Schizosaccharomyces pombe: one gene and its partners. The gene in region 4 interacts genetically with the main gene of each other region. Each region holds a gene or a part of one and is shown on either strand. Other genes may lie near its edges.

The links.
Region 1: mutations in png2 (region 4) and vph2 together harm fitness more than expected from each alone (negative genetic interaction), as found in Schizosaccharomyces pombe (2 studies listed by BioGRID).
Region 2: of png2 (region 4) and alp13, changing one suppresses a phenotype caused by changing the other (phenotypic suppression), as found in Schizosaccharomyces pombe (2 studies listed by BioGRID, with this or other methods).
Region 3: mutations in png2 (region 4) and hos2 together harm fitness more than expected from each alone (negative genetic interaction), as found in Schizosaccharomyces pombe (3 studies listed by BioGRID, with this or other methods).

The regions. Positions count from the first base shown.
Region 1 is NC_003421.2:66,443-71,172, forward strand, and holds vph2 (V-ATPase assembly protein), read left to right. Parts: upstream 1-1,809; 5' UTR 1,810-2,088; coding exon 2,089-2,511; intron 2,512-2,574; coding exon 2,575-2,793; 3' UTR 2,794-3,037; downstream 3,038-4,730. Other genes in the region: RNA-binding protein Rnc1, read right to left, coding at 1-243; SPOM_SPCC757.11C (transporter), read right to left, coding at 3,199-4,614. UniProt on the Schizosaccharomyces pombe protein: Required for vacuolar ATPase assembly.
Region 2 is NC_003424.3:1,585,329-1,590,507, reverse strand, and holds alp13 (Clr6 histone deacetylase complex, chromodomain subunit Alp13/Eaf3), read left to right. Parts: upstream 1-1,930; 5' UTR 1,931-1,956; coding exon 1,957-2,885; intron 2,886-2,934; coding exon 2,935-3,019; 3' UTR 3,020-3,180; downstream 3,181-5,179. Other genes in the region: thi4 (bifunctional thiamine-phosphate dipyrophosphorylase/hydroxyethylthiazole kinase), read right to left, coding at 1-408; centromere localized protein Cnl2, read right to left, coding at 916-1,045, 1,117-1,553; SPOM_SPAC23H4.13C (uncharacterized protein), read right to left, coding at 3,181-3,564, 3,645-3,815; SPOM_SPAC23H4.21 (uncharacterized protein), read left to right, coding at 4,035-4,319, 4,412-4,495; guanyl-nucleotide exchange factor Vam6, read left to right, coding at 5,065-5,137.
Region 3 is NC_003424.3:3,167,150-3,172,637, forward strand, and holds hos2 (class 1 histone deacetylase Hos2), read left to right. Parts: upstream 1-2,521; 5' UTR 2,522-2,960; coding exon 2,961-4,265; 3' UTR 4,266-4,363; downstream 4,364-5,488. Other genes in the region: tif211 (translation initiation factor eIF2 alpha subunit), read left to right, coding at 1-395; png1 (chromatin modification-related protein), read right to left, coding at 1,042-1,893; phenylalanine--tRNA (Phe) ligase alpha subunit Frs2, read right to left, coding at 4,435-5,488.
Region 4 is NC_003423.3:1,119,685-1,124,626, reverse strand, and holds png2 (chromatin modification family protein Png2), read left to right. Parts: upstream 1-2,665; 5' UTR 2,666-2,677; coding exon 2,678-2,729; exon of another isoform or gene 2,730-2,769; coding exon 2,770-2,841; exon of another isoform or gene 2,842-2,888; coding exon 2,889-3,682; 3' UTR 3,683-3,966; intron 3,967-4,022; 3' UTR 4,023-4,045; downstream 4,046-4,942. Other genes in the region: ribosomal lysine methyltransferase Set10, read left to right, coding at 1-183; GTPase-binding protein Rid1, read right to left, coding at 342-444, 494-1,026, 1,095-1,242, 1,381-1,799; Cu chaperone Atx1, read left to right, coding at 4,446-4,521, 4,645-4,775.

The DNA of each region.
Region 1 (4,730 bases), on a different chromosome or scaffold from region 4:
CTTGGCAGAGATGGGAGGCACTTGAGACGTTGGTTCGGGTTGGTTGGTCATGGACTGTTGAATAGTAGAACCGTTAGTAAGAGTCGATAGAGGTGTAGAGGGCTTTGGAGTAGGTATGGAAACTTTAGCAATGCCAGTAGCAGTAGAAGTGGTTTCGTCGGGTTCGTCTTGAAACGTTACGTCAAAAAAAGAGTTCTCTTTTTCCTCGATGTTTTTAGGAATGCTGAAGTGATTGTAAGCCATAGATGTCACTGGAATAGTATTGGTTAATTGAATAGGACACATATGCGTTTCTAGGAGGAGAGTAGAACCTTTTCTAAATTACTTCCTGAAAACTGATTAGTTCAAACCTGCAGGGATTTAGCGGAGATTAAAAAAAAAAAGGAAAACGGATTAGGCTCCTTCTAAGCTCTTATTGCAGTTTCTTATAAATTGAAATTGCAATCAATAGCTGTGATTACTTCGACAAAAATGAAGTAAACGACCAAGGAGAACGGAGTAGTGGTAAACGGGGTGTAGCAGTGACAAAGAGAAAATTTTCTGCAAGTAAGTCTTTTGGTGGGGAAATAACGAAGTTTGAAGAACGTATAGTAAAGTCGCACAATTTACTGATAGGAAGTGGTAGCGTAGCTTTACGCCTCAGTCGTTATATCTTTGGAAGTGAAAATGATGAGATTAATAAATGAGAAGAGCATTACAAGAATGGGTTTTTTAAATAATCGTAAATTTCCTAGCTAAAGCTAACGAATGCTGCCAAGTGAAATATCATTCTTTTAGTCAATATAGCAGGTATTAACGTAGTTGTTTTCGTTGGCCTTTGCTTCGGTATATAGGATAGCGTGGTTCAAGCGACTTTGTAAGATCAGATGAAAGATAAAGGGCAAAAACCTAAATAGCGTCCATGCATCAGTGGAACTTTCTTTCTTCAGATTACGTTATATGGTATAGTGAGCTTTGAAAATCGTTGAAAAAATTCGAATTTAATGGTGCAGAGGCAAAGACGATATGGACGTTCGGAAAAATGAAAACTATACTGGAGGAAGTTATCTTTATTTGATTCTGTCTTCGTAATTAAGCTTCCTTCAGCTTCGAACTTTTCATTTCCTAATTCGAATACCTATTTGTTCACCCGTACCTCTTTAGGTTTATATTTGTTCTTGCAAACTGTTCTGCGGCGATATGAATTTTGCTACCCCAAAGTTTACGTAAGCCAAGTTTGTCGTAAATAAATTCGCAAAAAAAAGTACTTTGGATGGTGCAACATGGAAGAATTGAACGCCGTTGAAACGCTGGTATTTTTGAACATGAAGTATCTCAGTATTCAACCCAAAGTCATAAAAATTCTTGAACCTTTAGCTTTCCAAGCGCTGAATGAGCATACTGGGACACATTTTGAAACCATAGACGCAAGTAATAATTGCGTAAGTTATATAAAACTCATAGAGCCAACAAAGCTAGTAGCATTTACTTCTTAATATTATATTGAAATTCCAATAAATAATCTTTGAATATCGTTTGTATGAAATACCCGAGAGCAATTGCGGCGCTAAATTAAACTGAATGTTCAGTTACCAAGATTTATGTCACTTCATAGAAAGATATAATATCACAGTAGCGTGTACCATTCTTCTATACCTCACTGAACGAGGAAGTCTACAATTCTGCTTGGCCTAGCACAGTGTTAGCGAGGGTGAAGAATAAAATTATGATGCTAATTACCAAAACGGTGATTTCAAAAAAAGTTGAGGAACTTTCATATTTTCATTTTTTGCCTCTTATAGGACGCTATGTATTACGTTGCGTAACTTTGACTTTTGCAAATACTTGGATGTACCACTGTCTCCATGTTTGTTTGTTGGTCAATATAAAACGTAGTATTAGACATTAAAATATTGGTTTAATTATTTCATTTAGAAAACTCAATAGAAATTTAGCAAATATCGTCAACCAACCTAGATTGATCCTGTTTCACGCAATTCGGACTATATGAATCGTTTTTGATTGCTTTCTAGACTTCATAGCATTATTACTTACCCTTCTACTTTTTTAATACCTTCGAAATTGTCAAATTGACTCATTATTGCAAAAATGCTGTACAGGCTCTCCGAAAAACAGCAGACAGACTTACGGTGTAATAAATTAACTGTCGATGGATTTGAGCTGGTAAAAATGTTAAAGGAATTACGATTACATAACAGGAATATCAATTTTTTGGAATTTCTTCGAGGTGTACAGATTGTGCCGAGCGACAGTGTCTTCTTGGGCGAAATTGATGAAAACAGCCATACTCAAGACAATACAACTACTTCTATCTTAAAGGAGAAAGAGCTATATGATGGTATTCCTCTGCTTCCATCAATGGCAGGCGTATCCATGGACCCTGAGAGAGAAAAAAAATCAGAGTTACGACTAATGAAAAACCAAATCAGCGCTATAATCAATATACTCTTCACAGTAGTAGGAACGGTGACCGCTGTTTGGTACTGCACTTCATCTTTATCTATTGAAAAGGTATGAATTAAAAACTTTCGTTTTGTTCCTGGGAGACCTTTGTATTGACTTAATATTATTTAGAAAATTGCGCTATGTGCGTTTTCAGCAATCTTGGTTCTAGTAGCAGATACGTTTCTTTATGTCCGCTATCTATCTGCACAACCCGTACGAACTTCAAAGAATCATACTCGACAAATAATATATACATGGACAACAAATGACCCTGTTCTACAGTCAAATGAGCAGCTAGCTATAGAACTGGGAGCCATTCCATCTTTGAAGGAAAAAAAGAACCAATAATTATATTCTTAATTTTTAGATGTTTTATTAACGAAAGTACCTTTGATGTTTTCCTGTAGATGATTTTTATAGGTTGTTTGTCTAATTGATCATAATGGCATACCTCTCTATGTGTTAATTGAAGGGCAGGCACCTATGGGCACACTATAGATAAAAAATAAAAAGTATTTAAGATAAAAAATTCGAACTCATTTGGCTTTTAACGTATATTTCATCAATTAATTTCATTATAATTAAAGATTTAGCAACATTATTTCAATTTAATTAGCCATTTGGTATTAGATTTATTTGTAAGGAACACAACTTACAAATTTATAAATAAACAACAAATCAACCCCCCCTTGTAAAAAAATTAAAAAAAAAAAAAAAAATAGAGAGCAACCTAACCATTGAGTTACCAGTGAATTATGCAAGGCGCAACTTGACCTTAAGTTTCTTCCATATAATCAATAGTGCAAGCACAGACATAACGTTTAATATTAAGCATACCGCAAAAAAAACAACAGGTGAGAACGAGCGAAATGCACCGCCAAAGATAGCACCAACTGTGTCGGATAAGGAAATTGATATTTGCACAGCGACGTTACCTATCAGGTGGTACTTAGGATGTAAAACCTTTGTCAATAAAGAGACCGAAGGGGAATTAGCAATAGAAGATCCAAAAAAAACAAGGGTGTAAATAATAAAGTAAGGTTGTACGAATTCCTTGCCTGTATAGTGAATAGTTATATGAATAACCATGCATACGATGTTTAAACAACAACCCAACAATATGATATCTCTGTCAGTCAAGTAACGCGTCAAATAGGAAAATATTAAAAGCAAGGGTACGTTGATAATTCCAGCCAAAGAAAGGAAGTTACCTGCTTGGAAGGATGAATAATTATAAAGCATAGAAGTGTAAATTGGAACAGATGCTTGGTATGCATTTAATAGAAAGTAAGCAGAGAAGCCAGAGAAAGCGACAACGAAAATAACAAGACACCCCACAAATCCTAGTTTTGAATTGGTATCCTGTTTGACATCATTAATGACATGCTTCTCTTCGACTACTTCTTCCTTTACGTCCGTTTGCGGGCTCAAAACCTCCCGGAAACAAGCAAAGCCAAACAAAAACAAGCCTACCCAAATGAAAGCCATTAGCCAGTTACCCGAAGTATATTCATTCCAGATATCGCTTTGAGACTTCATTGAAGACTTGGCCATTAATCCTCCGATGAATGGACCAGCTGTCAAACCAAGCGTTGCCATGACTGAGTTGACCACACCCATCGACGTTCTATATTTGATGCTGATCAAGGCTTTATCTGTGAAATAGCGCTTGTGGTATAAAAACATGGTACACGCAACACCCGTAAAAATACGACTCACAAGAATCAAGGCCACACTTTTGGCTTTATCTGCGAGTGCATACATGATATGACCAATAATGCAGCTTATACACGACATTGTATATGGTCTTCTATAAATCGTATATCCCTTGGCAGCTTTCGGAGTCGAGAATCTCAACATGGGATACAGCAACACAAGGGCAGTGATTGTGGGCAATCCGATAATTACACCGGACAAACCATTTCCTCCCCCCAGATGTTGGACAAATCTCTCGGACGTAGGAACGACAATGGTGAATGAAATGCAAAGAATTGTGTTATTTAACAGCATCAAAGCCGCACTGATGAACGGTGGTTTATGCGTAGCAGCCGGTGAGGCAGAAGGGTCATTGGAAACTAATCTTACAGATTGCTTGTATCCCGACTTTTCCTTTTCATCAAGAAAGGATGAGACCGAGAGGTCTTTTTCTAAATTACTTTGTTGCTCCATAATATAGACTCAATGGATCCATTCAAAAACCTGCTCTACTACGAAAACTGGCCTGTGGAATAAGGTATAGAAGGAACGAGAAAACAAAGAGAAATTCTTTGTTGTTTTCAAATATT
Region 2 (5,179 bases), on a different chromosome or scaffold from region 4:
CTCGTAAATAGAACCGATACCCACATAATCGGCCCCATCAGCAGCTGCTTTTTCAATTTCCTCGATATTATTAGTGGACACTCCAATAATAGCATCATCGCCAAGAATTTTTCTGGCTAATGCACAATCCATGTCGTCTTGACCAATATGAACACCGTCAGCGCCAACAGCTAATGCCACGTCAATCCTATCATTAATTAGAAAAGGCACGTCGTACTTTTTGCAAATTTCAGAAAGTCGTTTAGCACGTTCTACAAAGCATTTAGTAGAGATGTCTTTTTCTCTGTGCTGAACAAGCGTGACACCTCCCAAAATTCCCTCTTCCACCTGACGTTCTATAGTAGAACCTGGGGCAATTAAACTAGAGCTAGTTACAAGGTATAAAGAATAGTCAATTTGACGTTTCATGTTTGGTATAAAAGTTCTTATATAGAAGTCAAGTAAGTAAACAAAATCCTAGAAATGCCAGATTATGTTGCGGACACCAAAAATTTGACAGTTCAATCTTTCTATGCTAAGAAAAATGAAAATTGAATATTATCCTAATTTAATCAAGAATTTGGCGAAAGTGTTACAAACTATGTTTGCAAATTTTGCTCCATCTTTTATACTGTGTTAGTCATGGTTCGGATGCGTGCTACGACAAGTTAGTGATAACTGATTTTAATCACTCTATTAAAATGTAGTTTGTCAAATGGAACAAATACTGCATGCTTTTGAAGAAAATATATTCGCATTACTTTGAACAGGTTTTAATGAAATGAGTTTATAAAGGAACAGATATATCTTATTAAAAAGGTGCAGAATAACGTTATATTTAATTATTAAAAAGAAAAAAAAATTCATTCATTGTAATAAATACCCGTTAAAGCTATATTATTGAATAAATATGGAACAGCTTAACGTTTGAAGGTCCTAGTCTAATTCTTCTATTGCAGAAGGTGCTGCCTTTTCTAAACTTTCAATTAAAGATTCTACAAGATGAATTGACTCGTCAACGTTTGGCTCTTTTGACCATTGAAAATCGCTAAGGGATGCAATCTGACTAGAAAGAAATTATTAGCAAGCTAAATAAAGCTCAATTAAAACAACCCAAATTCCTAATCAACCTCATACCTATTCATTTTAAGAGTCAATTGTGTGCAGCGCTCTTTTTCCTCATTTAATTTTGTATAAGCAGATTGCACAGCTTCAGAAAGCCGCTCATTGATTTCACTTATGTCCAGCGGTTTTGCACTATGTGATGTGTAAAATTCTTCTACATCGTGCAATGTAGAGGCATGACTGACCGTTTGCAGTTTCTCAACATTTGTTGCCAACATCCTATCTATTCTGCTTTTGCCGATAACTTGACTCTCGAGATGGATGTTAGCTCTCAATTTTGCTAATCGCTTTTGTCTTTGTTGTGTACAGTATTCGTATAAACGCTCAATCAGTGGGTCTTCTCTGTATCTCTGAGGAAACAGTTGCCGCCATTGTTCTAAGCTTATAATAGACTGCAACCGCCCTTGAGAAAGAAGATAATCATTAAGTATTTGTTCCTCCATATTCATGAGCAACCTTTGAGATATTAGTAAATTGAATAAATGAAACGCAGCATTTGATGAAAACTCATGTAGAAAAGCTAATTTTTCCTAAAGTATCCTTTTGACTAAAGCATTTTTTATAATGCGTATTGGGACGTATTTGCTGAACATAATGAAAGTTTATTTTTAATTTATCATTAAAAATCCTAAAACAGTAACTTACTGATAGCACTTTCTCCAAGCATTTTGCAGATGAATGAATTTGTTGCTTAGATAGTATCCTGTTACACCCACCGTTTGTTAATGGGTCTAGATAATTTTTAAAACAAAATAGCTAACTCCTTCAAAGTAGGATAAATTTGCTAAGTGTACTGTTTTGGCACACGTCCTCTTACTTCTAACTCACCACCATACCTACAACGTTGTTGGAATGGCCGTGTCATATAAGGTGAATGAACGTGTACTATGCTTTCACGGCCCGTTACTCTATGAGGCTAAAATTGTTGATACTGAAATGAAAGGTGATGTTACCACGTACCTGATTCATTATAAAGGATGGAAAAACAGTTGGGATGAATGGGTTGAACAAGATAGGATACTACAATGGACAGAAGAAAATTTAAAGACTCAGAAAGAGTTAAAAAATGCCGCTATCTCTACGAGACAAAAACCGACTTCTAAAAAGTCCGCATCCAGCACTTCGAAACATGACTCAACTGGAGTTAAAACATCAGGAAAGAGGTCTCGAGAATCGAGCACCGTAACGGTTGATGGCGATTCACATGAATTGCCTTCACGTATAAAAACCCAAAAATCAGAGTCTCCAATTCCTCAACAAGTGAAACGCGATGGAACAACCGATGCTAAAAACGAGGAAACTACTAAGCCCGAGAATAACGAGAAAGACGATTTTGAGGAAGAGCCACCGCTTCCAAAACACAAGATTAGTGTCCCGGACGTTCTAAAGCTATGGCTTGTTGATGACTGGGAAAACATTACCAAAAATCAACAGTTAATAGCTATACCGCGGAATCCCACCGTCCGGGCTGCTATAGCGGCCTTCCGAGAATCCAAGATTTCTCATTTGAACAATGAAATAGACGTTGATGTTTTTGAACAAGCGATGGCTGGTTTGGTTATATACTTTAATAAGTGCTTGGGCAATATGCTGCTGTATCGGTTTGAACGGCAGCAATATTTAGAAATTCGGCAGCAATATCCTGATACTGAAATGTGTGATTTATATGGCGTCGAACATTTAATTCGCTTGTTTGTAAGCCTTCCTGAATTGATTGACCGGACTAATATGGATTCACAATCCATCGAGTGTTTGTTGAATTACATTGAAGAATTCTTGAAGTATGTTTACTGCTTTTAAACTCCCCTACTATACTAACCATTTATTTAGGTATCTCGTTCTACATAAAGATGAATATTTTATTAAAGAATATCAAAACGCCCCTCCAAACTATAGATCTTTGGTTGGTGTATAAAATTATGATCGTTTGCATCTATCCCAAAGATAACTAAAACGGTAATCTAAAATATATACGTTTTCTTTTTGAGATATAATACACTATTATCTATAGAATGCAGTAGGACCAACATAAGGCATTCAGAGAATTCATGCAATTATTATGTTGTTCCTTAATATTCAGATATTAATCATTTTGCTCTTCAAAGAGACAATTTGCTTCTGCAAATTGCCAATTGGAGTATCAAATTCTAAAGATCCAGAAATTTGACTTCCAAACTGATAAAGTTCTGCATTTACGACACCTTTCATTGCCTGGATGCTCAGGTCTAACGAACTTTCTGCCGGGATACACTGCTGCTCCTGTTCAGTTATATTGGCAACTCTTCTCAATTTTTCTTTAATACAACTCCATTTTTCTATTGTTTTTAAAATTTTTTTATCGTCAACCCGATGTTGTAATGTATCAGTCCGCTTATTGAATCCATCCATAAAATTGTAATAAAGCTTTATGAGTGCCCGTCTAAGGGCCAATGTGTATAACCATTGAGGACGTATGTAATACTAGAATTTGGTGAGTTGGACGTAAATAAGAACCAGTAAATATAAAAACTAACCACAACTTGCTAAGAATGTGTACTTACTTTTGTAATAACGAAAGTCGAGAGACCACTGATAGAAAAAGTATATAATATGTAAATTAAGAAGGACAATAAGCTGGACGAAACTTGTATATTATCTGGAAAAGCTTTAACAGGCGGATTTTCTTTAGGAAGCAAAGGACTTTTGCTTTGAACAGCACTGTTCGAACTCATTTTTAGAATGATCGAAAATTTTGCACTAGTGAAAATATGGATATCAAACCAGTTGAAGAAGAAAATGATAAGCGTAAAAAAGATGGTTAAGCATATAGTGTTGCGGAATAAGTAGTTTGATTGTTCGAAATTAATACGAAGCAGTAAAAAGCAACTTTGCAAAATTAACAGAACAAATGAAATGAATAAGTTTGTTATATCTAACGGATTGTTATTAAAATGTATCAAGTTTCCAATCTCGATTTAAAATGTGGCGTGCACAACGGTGAATTGTTGACGGTCCTTTTACCCAATATAATGGATTCTGGTAATGCGACAGAATTAGGAATTGGAGTAGAAGAGTGGCATAAACGGCGCTCTTCATGGCTTTTAGGGAAAAAATCTACCGAAGAAACTGATTCATCGAATGAAGTTGTAGTTCCTGAAAATGTATATCTCAATGTTTATGAAGCACTAGTCTATCGAAGGCAAAAGTTGAAGCGTCCGGTCAAATTAAGCATTGTAGTAAGTTGAGTCGGTTATTATTTTTTTCCTTTTTTAAAATTCTATCTTTGTTTGCGTTTTTTTGCTACTTTACTAAAACTTTTTTTCACCAGATTGCTGTTCTTAAAGCCGGTTGGATTCGAGATGGATTTTGGCCAGCTCCCAGCAATAGCAATGGAGTTTCTGTACCTCCTTGAAAAGTCATTATTAATGACCTTATTTCTGTTGCTACTTGGAAAGCAAAAAATTTCTTATATCCCTGTTTATTGTTTAAAACTTTGGTGTAATTATTGGTAACAATTGGATATCGAGCATAAAGTATTGAGATATATCCTAATTGAATAAATAATAAATGGTTTTCAATGACATTATTATTAACTGGAACTAACATTAGCAAACTTTTTACCCGGGAAATAAACAAGAGTAGAGAAAGCAACTATTTAACTAATAATATAAAGCAAAATCTTCTCATATTATTTATATTATAGAGTTGAGCAATCCAGTTTATTAAGAAAGTTATTTCTTTACTATTTAACTCTCCTATATGCTACAATCAAGAGCTGTTTAAGGTAGCAATTGCTAATGTATTAAATATTTTTATGACATTCAACGAGCTCTTGAGTTAGCGAATGTCATACTAAACCAGACCTTGTTCTTGAACATATTCTCCTTTGTTTTTCAGTTATATTTCTCTTAATCAATTTTTTTCTGGACCAAATTTACGTTTTAGCACAAAGTTATTTTGTCTGATGCTTATTGAAGGGTAATGCATAGAGCATTTTCATTATACCGTGTTTTAGAGCTATCAAAAGCTCGGGTTGAATGCGTTTTTGAGTTAGGTATGATTTATTTTACTTTTGGACCTTAATGCTAATGGATAA
Region 3 (5,488 bases), on a different chromosome or scaffold from region 4:
GTCGTCTGACGCCTCAGCCCATTAAAATTCGTGCTGACGTTGAAGTCACTTGCTTTGGCTACGAAGGTATTAACGCTATCAAGGCCGCTTTGAAGGCTGCTGAAGATGTTCATACCGAGGAGGTTCCTATCAAAGTTAAACTTGTTGCTCCTCCACTTTACGTCCTTTTGACAAACGCATTAGATAAGTCATTGGGTCTCAAAAAGCTAGAAGAGGCAATTGGTGCAATCGAAAAATCCATTACAGCATCCAATGGTACCTGTACTGTTAAAATGAAACCCAAGGCGGTTAGTGAAACTGACGAATTGGAGCTTGCCGATTTGATGAAAAAATTTGAAAAGGAAAATGCTGAAATCTCTGGTGATGAAGAGGATGACCAAAGCGGTTCTGAGTAAATGGATTAGACACTAGCTAATATACGCTTTTTCATTGTGAATTTTTGGCACTTTAGTGTTCCATTATAATCTGGGGTTCTTTTTATTTTGTACTATACACTTTATCAAATTTATCTAGTGATATCTATGGTTAAAAAATTTCCTCTTCTTTTTTCCGAATGCGTAAGAGTTCTTTTATATGTTACGAGATAATATGAAAACGCTAGACGCTGCATCTTGTTCCTTTGTATGTACAATAATAAGTTCAGTTCCAATATAGTAGAAATAATGGACAACAAATGCAATTACAAATAATAAAGTTACAAAAGACTTATTACTGTGGTTAGCTACGGCGTGTAATATCTGCTTTGGGGAGGATTGGGGAAATTAAAGAACTGAATTTCTTAATGTACAAGTAATCTGGTACTTATTATGTGAGTGAAAAACAAACAAGGACAAGAATAAGATAAAAAGGATTCGTAATCGTGAAGATATGATTAATAAATTAACCATTTTGCAAATCACATATACACAGCTTGAACAACGTATAATCAAATATAGTAAGTTCGGAACAGGTGAAAAATTAGCGGATATTAAAGCCCAAAAAAAAACAACAATGCTTGCATTCAATAATGGGAAGACCAACAGACTTTAGATTGGGGAAAAATTACTTAGCATCAACAAGCTTCTGATCCCTACAAGCTTCGCAATACCATGTACCTTCAGGAGGAGCTTTAAGACCAACACACTCCATATGGAACCATTCACGCTCACAATTAGCATTGTCACAAGCGACCATTTGCCCATATGATCCTTGCTGGCAAAAACAATACTTTTCATTATCCTCTTCCATATCTTCTTCTGAGACCATTTCATTCGGCGTTGTGGAATCTGCCTTAGTTTCTAACTGGGTGGTTGCAGTGGCATTCGAAACCTTCTGACCGCGAGTTGAACCAGAATCTGCCAACGAAGCCGTATAAGGAGAGTGATAGACTCCATTTTGAATTGCACCCCTGGTAGTTGCTGAAGTACGACGGCGACCAGCTGTTGAGGCTCCCGACCGAGAAGGGGCCGGTGTTTGACGAGCACTTGAGGCACCACTTGGACTGTATCCACCATACGGTGAAGAAGCATAGTAGTCAGGAGCATTTAACAATTCCGCAGCTGTAAATCCATGACCGGCCTTTGCAAGTCTATCATCCAATCGCTTTATGTGCCGTGTAAGTCCCAATCTGGCACGATCCGCCAACTGGACTTTCTCGTTCTGTATATTAATTGCCTTTTGATACTCCTCGCGAATCGTCGAATACAAAGCATCTTCTTTTGGATGTGGGGTCAAGGAACCATGTGATTTAATGTATGACTGAATCTGAGAATCAGCTGCTTGAATTCTCTTCCAGATGTCATGTACAGCAACTTCCTTCACACTAATTTCGTCAAAGATGTGTTTTGTTTCGTTGGGAACATTATCCAACGTTTGCAAATACTCACTTAGTATGTAAGCTGTATCATCTGCCATTATTCTCAAATTGAAAATTATAGATACGTTCTAATTTCCGCTTTATGCAAAAATTATTATTATGATTTCAAATTCCAAAAGAAAGGGAGATTTGAGTCTTTTAAAGAGATAGGGAAAGTTGATATTCCACTAATATTTTCGATACTTCAATAACTAATGAATAAAAGATACTATGACTTTATCTTTTAAAGTAGAGGAATGTGACAATAAATGTACAAACGAGAAGGACAAAGACACTAATTGAAATAATATATATGAACCTATGGCTCGTTTTTGTGTCGTTTAAAGATTATTTTTACACTCTCTTAAGCTGCTGAAAATTTTTCCGGTTGTTTATAGTAGCCCACATTTGGTGTTGAGTTCCGCCACTCCATATAATGTAAACACAGTACTGGAAGGCAAAGAGGGCGAAATAAAAACATAAGAATTCACGCAAACCAAATCACTTTGAAGATAAATCTTTTCAACGTATGTATGATATCTAAGTTGCCAAATTGTCTATGAATTCACATGCTAAAGGTTACCATCTGTTTAAGTAATAACGATACGTTATTAATGTGTTAGTTCATATATGGAAGCATAACATACTAAACTACACCTAAGTTGGTAGCTTCCTTCTGTGTTCACTGAGATATACATTTTTAAGTTATAAGAATGAACCAGCACTAGCAATTCTTCAAAAAATTGTAAATCCTATTTGTTCTTGTGTTTATGGGCTTCAAAGAGTTTGAATTAACGCTTTGTTGAAGTTGTACATTTTATCTAATAAGGTATCGGGTTTAGCGACCTTTTGCTACGTATTCTGCGCTCGACGTAAAAATAAAGTATTTACAGTTCGTGTTGCTGTTTATTATTTGGATTGAATTCTTTTCTATAAAAAAATCTGGGTTGTTTTTCGATTTATATTAATTTGGCATTGGTCAATAACTTTCATTTCTCTTGTTTCTTCTGAAACAGTTATTAATTTGTTTCTTAATTTTATTTATTCTTTTCTTGTTCTTTCTTTAGAAAAGATATTTTCATTTAATTTGTCTCGCGGTTTTTTTTAGTATAATAGTCTGTATATCATGGATACTCCTGAGACATCCACACCTTATGAACAAGTTGAAAAGGGGTCTTTTTTTAGCTTTCGACCTCAAAAAAAGCGTGTCACATATCACTTAGATGAACAGGTGGGAAACTACCACTATGGTGACAAACATCCAATGAAGCCCCATCGAATTACCATTACAAATCATTTAGTGATGGGTTATGGGTTGCATAACAAAATGAGTGTATTCAGCCCCCGGATGGCAACTTTTGGTGAAATGTCAGAATTTCATAGGGAGGATTATTTGGATTTCCTTAAGCGCGTTACTCCTGATAATGCTGAACAATTTGCTGATAAGTTCCAACAATTCAATATTGGTGATGACTGTCCGGTCTTTGACGGCACTTATGAATTTTCTCAAAGGTCGGCAGGCGCTAGTTTGGATGCTTCTCGGAAGTTAGTGCAAGGTCAAACAGACATTGCTATCAATTGGAGCGGTGGTCTCCATCATGCAAAGCGTGGTGAGGCTAGTGGATTCTGCTATGTTAATGATATTGTTCTAGCAATTTTGAACATGCTACGGTTTTTTCCTCGCGTTTTGTATATCGATATCGATATTCATCATGGAGATGGTGTGCAGCAAGCATTCTATGAATCTGACCGCGTGTTGACGGTTTCTTTTCACAAGTATAATGGTGATTTTTTTCCTGCAACTGGTAATTTTGATGAAAATGGCGTGAAAGGAGGGAAATATTTTGCTTTAAACGTTCCTTTGGAAGATGGTATTGGTGATGAACAGTACACTAGTCTTTTCAAATCCATAATTGAACCAACTATCAATACTTTTCAACCTTCTGCAATTGTCCTTCAGTGTGGTGCTGATTCGCTTGGTTATGATCGGCTCGGCGTGTTCAATCTGAGCATCCATGCACATGGGGAATGTGTTAGATTTACCCGTTCATTCAATATACCCATGCTTGTAGTTGGAGGTGGTGGTTATACTCTTAGAAATGTTGCTAGAGCGTGGTGTTATGAAACTTCCATATGTGTAAACGAACAAATACCTTCAGAATTACCTCGTGAAACTTTGTATTACGAATTTTTCGCACCAGATTACACCCTCCATCCGCGATTAACCACGAAGATAGAAAATAAAAATACACCGAAAGCTCTTGAAGATCTTCGAATACGGGCCTTGGAGCAATTACGTTACTTAGGAGGAGCGCCAAGCGTTCAGATGCAGCAAATTCCACCAGACTTAACTGGGCATTTGGAAGAAGAAGACGAACGGTTGAATGATGAATACTTAGACAAAGCTGTGGATGTTCGCGTTCGAGGCTGATATTAATGAATTTTCGACTTTTTATTTGATATCCGTACAAACATCAAATAATTTTAGTTAATGTTTATAGACATTGTAAATATTAATAATTGACCCTATACGAAAATACGTTTACCATAGTGATTATGTATTATTTTTATAAACGATTATGCAAAAAAAAACACTAAATTTATTCCTCTTTGTCTAAACGAACTGCAGGGCTAGCCTCAATTAGGTCCAAGTTAACCTTAGGACCAATCAATTGTCTAATGTCGGCCACACCATATTTGATCATAGTGGGGCGCTCTAAAGAAAGACCAAAACCTAAACAACGAACATCTTTAGGTAATCCCATAGGCTCTAACATCTCCGGACGGAACATGCCGCTGTTTCCGACTTCAACCCACTTACCAAGCTTTTCGTGGTAGGAAAAGACTTCCAATGAAGGTTCAGTATAAGGATTATAAGCAGGTTTGAAGCGCAAATTTTTAACGTTCATTTTTCCAAAGAACACCTCAAGGAAACCGATCAAATCACCGAGGGTAATATTTCTATCGCAGATTACGCCTTCGACTTGATGAAATTCGGCAAGATGAGTTGCGTCAACGGTTTCATTGCGGAAGACCCGATCAATTGAGAAGTATTTAGCAGGGTGAAAGCCATTTTGGGCAAGTTTGTACAACATATTCGCCGAGACAGCAGTAGTATGAGTACGAAGAACTAGTTTACGAGTTTCCTCCAAGGAAAAGGGAGCACGGTATCCAATGCCCTTAGTCTCACCACCGTTTTCGTGAGTGGCCTTTACTCGAGCAACATATTCGGGATCTGGCAATTTATCAGTAGAAGCAGGAACTTTCAAAAAGAAAGTATCTTGAGCATCCCTTGCTGAATGTTGTTGGGGGACAAATAAAGCATCAAAGTTCCAAAATCCACTTTCAACAAAATTGTTGGTTGGCATTTCTTCAAAACCCAATTCGAAGAAAAATTTACGGAATTCTTCACGTACTTTCATCAAAGGATGAAGACATCCACCAGCTGGAGGTATACCTTCAGCTGCAAAGTTGTAAGATTTAAACTTGGCACTTTCCCATGATCGAGAGGTGATCATCTCAGCAGTTAAATCGGTGTTCAGTTTTTCAATTTGAAGCGAGAAATTTGGACCTTTCCTCAAAGAGAAGTACATAATTTTGTTACGTTCAACAAGCTTTCTCTTCTTCAAATCAGTTAACGTCTTACTGTCAGAG
Region 4 (4,942 bases):
GTTGCTAATCCAGAAGGTGTTGAAGTCTTTGAAATCTTGGATGAAATGTTTTTTCAACAATTTACAAACGTATTTGGGGAATCCAAGCATTTTAATAAAGAAAATGTTTCTTGGGCATTGCAATTGGTAAATGACGAAAGTCTCGACTTTTCTGGATTTACCTTTATTATTGCCCATAATTGATAAATAAAAATTAAGCGATTAATATATAATGTACGATGAGTATTCCAATATTGGGTTAGGTAAAGTAGATGACAAGACGTATTTTGATAAATGATTAAGGTGTTTAGTGTCTTTTATATACATAGGATGATTGTAGTGCATAGAAAATTAGGGTAAAGTTAGGTTGATCCAGTTTGCACAAGTTTGTATGGCCAATCATCAATTTTAGCAGCCACTATCCATTCACGAAGGGCTTCATGTAGCTTCTTATGGAATTTTTGACTAGATTTGTAAGTGCCTGCTTATATAAATATTGAAAAAAATTGCTTACCTGCTCTTTCGAAACCGTAACCCCATGATTCTTTCTAATCCACTTAGCTGGAGTTCCAAACGTTTTCTTTGACGTTTCTCTAAAGGTAAGCCTTCGAGTAATTCATTAATAAGATGGATGTGAGCTGCAACATAGCTGGTGGCTTCGGTTTCTATACCACCAATAAACCCCAATGGAGCCTCGTACACTTGATTATATTGTTTCTCCAAATCAATGACATTAGAATCGTGGTTCCACACCCAGAAGACATTACGGCTAACATCTTCAAGTTCGATAATCCAACGGCGAAAAGGTCGATCAACTCGAACGTTTTTTAAGAATTCAACCTCTTCATCCTTATCGTCTTTAATAGAAAACAAGGAAAAAACTTGCATTGCACCTTCTTCTTTGTCGAGATGAGCTTTGTAAAAGGAGTGAACTATTTGAACGAGTACTTCCCTTACGACAAAATCACATGGCTGTTTCTTTGAAAGCAAAAGGGAAATCAATCGCTCGACATTATAAGTGGATTGAGATAAACATTCCAATCCGCGCTAGGAAAAACGTTAGCAATTGTCAAAGGCAATGAAGACATAGGTCTAAATGTATATCACATGCATACCTGAACAGTGCACATGGCTTTAACGCAAAGTAAAAGTTGCTCCAGTATAGAATCGTGCAGTTCCTCTCTCCATTCAAGGCGAGAGATTTTGTCGATTGTACAAAATACTACACCGAAACCGCCGTTGTGTATAAACTTCTCTACCCATCTGTATTGCAGTTAGTATGAAAAACCTCAAAATAAACGAATGATTTATCATTCAATCAAAACAATAGTAGTGCCAAAAAAAAAGATAATTTAAGCATCACCACTTTGATTCACGTAGCTGCACAAAATGTAAACATACATTACTTGCTCGTTTCTGAGAAGTAGAGCTAATTTGTGTATGATAGATTCATCGATTGAGTCAATTTTTGTATTTACAATATACGAAATAAAGTCGTCAGGTTGCTCGTAACATGGTTTTTTACGCATCCAAGCAATTAATTTATTTCGCTTTTTCTGGTCTTTTTGCTGTAAACTGGACACGATTTCCATTTTAATTCCTTCATTAAGGGAAAGTAAACTCTTTGAGGCCTCTGAAGAAAGAACTTGAGGCTTGATTAAATCTTCAAAACATTGTGGCATTTCATCTTCAGAAGGGGTTGAAGGAGTCTGAAAGCTCAAGCTATCCTCTCGATCAGAAGAATTAACGCTTTCAGAGAGCCCATCAGAGCTCAAAGAGCGAGCACCTAAAAGCCGTTTTACTGAACGTAGAGAATTCATAATGTGTGTAAGGAATAGTCGTGTGGTATATTTACATAGAAATGGGAGGGCTGGTATATATTAAAATGGCACGCTGACGCGTCCGAGGAACAAGCCACAGGAACATGAAACGGACAATATCGGGAATTAATTCAATAATTAGGCTAATACGCGGAACGGTTGTTCCAATTTTTAATATGTACAATACTAAGCTATGGCCCTAGACTTAGGGAAGGAAAATAGCACATGAATGTTCGAAAAAAAAAAAGAGAAAGCTTCCGTTATTTAATAAACCATACTATTTACGCCTATCATTATTTTCATTAATAGCTATACATAGTAAATCCAACTTGCAAAATTTTGAGATTACGCGTGTTGAGTTAATGTTTGATATTGGTATATACACTATCGTATGTAAGTCAAATGAGAAGAATGGAAAAATAAGAATGTATTGAGCTTTAAGATATAGTAAATCTCGGTCTATTTTGGGTAAGAATTTTAATATGTACTTCTCAATTATCTGGAATTCACTGAAGGTTGTGAAAAGGAAAAATATTTCGGACATCCAAAATTTGCTATTATAATGAAGGTGCAACTAACTGAGTAGTAGAACCGATATCTAAAATAAATTGATTATTTGGAAATGTATGGTTAAACAAGAAGGCTCATATTACCTGAACTAACATAATGTCGTTAAAAATTACAGTTCAAAGCAGTGCTGAAATTATACTAGAATTCTGGTACATTAAAACGCGTCGCTTATAATAGAATCACTTCTTTCTATCAATAGATTAAACATACAATTTTGCTATTTCACGTAGGGATGTAGTAAAGTGAGAGAAGTAGGTGGGACATACATTTCCTACTCAGCACAACGTAACGTGCTTAGTGTCAATATCATGGGGACGAGTGGAATTGAAATATTTGCAGCTTTAAATGATTTCACAGATGGTAAGAGGCGAAAATAAACACATTGATTAACATTTTACAGCCATTGTTTCAGTCCCTGAATCAGTATGTGGAAAATTCACGAGTTTGAAAGAGATCGATGCACAAGTACGAGGTAAGTGAAATATATATTTTTAAAACGTGTGGTTAACAAAATCTTAGATATCCGTCAAAATGTCATACAGGAAATTGGTGTGGTTCTAAAAAACGAGAAAAATGACGAATTGTCAGGAGAAGAAAGATGTGAGCGATTACAAAAGACACTAAAAGAGATACTTCCATATTCTGATTCAAAGATTTGTTTGGCCACAGACGCAATGAATAATATCAAGAGTTGTATCGACCGTTTGGATGCTGGGTTTGAATATGTTGAATTGGAGATTCCCCAACAATTGAGATTGGGATATCCAGACGATCGAGCTTTAATGAATTATCATTCTACTGTGACTCCTCAAACTTCTGAAAGGAGACGGGAAACCCGTCGGCATCAAAATAACCAGCATTCCCAGCAATATTCCTCTCAGGAACGGTCGTCTTCATATAACAACTTTGAAGACGCTTCATCGCCGCAATCTTCTTATCACACCCCTACAAAGCGTCGAAAAAATGCTGTTCCTAGAAAATCATCATCACCTCCATTATCGAGTACAAAGCATGCGCCGCAATCTACGGAGAGGCGACCAGTGCGGAGATCAGAATCTCGTTTAAAACAGACAAATGGGGAACCACTTGTCAAACACGACACATTAGATTCAAGTGATATCAGCCGTGAAGGTGAGCAACTTTACTGTTACTGTCAACAAGTTTCCTATGGACAAATGATTGGATGTGATAACGAAAATTGTAAAAGAGAATGGTTCCATTTACCTTGCGTTGGTCTAGTAGAACCACCGAAGGGGATCTGGTATTGTAAAGAATGTGAAGAGTTAGCAAAATCATCTGAAAGTCGTCAATGAGCCGGGATCCTTTTTATTTTCTTTCACCTTCTTTTTATTGTTAATTTCTCAGTGTTTGACATCGTTATGAAACATCCATTACCACTGCTTGCATTGCTCTTGTTTACTGAATCAATTAAACTAACGACAACATTTCTATACCTCATAAAACCCTTATAACGATTTTTATGGTTTCGTTAAAGGATACAACCATCAGCTACGTATCTCGGTATACTATTTAATGATATGTAAAACTACGGTGTGTTTTGTTTGCAATCTACAAAAAGCGGATGCAATATGTATGAGTAAGTAATATTATAATTATTTTTATTAGAAATTTGTTAGTAACTAGTCATTGAAGTAAGGAAGCAATTTTAGGCGCAAACTTTATTAAATTTTTTCTTTGAATTTGTTTTGTTAGCTTACATACTTGTTAATAAATGGAAATTCCTTCATGCATGTTTCAAAAGCGAATTTAAATAGTATTCAAAGTAATGACAAATAGTGATACACAACATAGTGTATCATAGCTTAGTGCATTATTACTGACACACATCTATAGCAAATATATCTCTCTCGTTATTTTTTTAAGGATACCTCCTTGCATTACGTCTAAATGCTTTTACTAATGGATTTTCCAACTTATCGTTTCCCTCCTTCTCATCTAAAGTAATTCTTAAAATTGGGATTTTCTTGAATTTTAAATACTGTTTTTATTTGTGTTACAAAAAAGTTAATTAACAGTTTCTTGTCCAAATCTCGTTGAATTTTTGATCATCTGATAATGAAGTACCAATTTAACGTTGCTATGGCTTGTGATGGCTGCAAAAATGCCATCGATCGCGTTTTAACTCGTCTGGGTGCGTTTTAAAAAAAGTCATTTTTTAAGTATTTAGATTTACATTTATATAAGTATTTGTTATATATGGTTTTTCAGGAATTTTGTTGATGAATCTGTGTACTAATTAAGTAATGTCGAGTAGGTGTTGAAGACAAATCCATTTCGGTCGAAAAACAAGAGGTTATCGTTACCACAGACAAACCATATGAGCTCGTAGAACAAACGATTAAAAAAACTGGAAAGGAAGTTCGCAGCGGTAAAGTCCTAGAGTAGAGCATGGCAAAAATTACGACTTTAATCATATCTGATCGGTTCTCTCAAAAATATGCTCTTGACTTTTTTGTTGTCGCCTTATTGTTAAGATTTATATATACGACTAGACGAGGCTATTTGTTTTGTAGGATACAGCGTACTGCTTGAGCCTTTGGTGTTATTTTCCT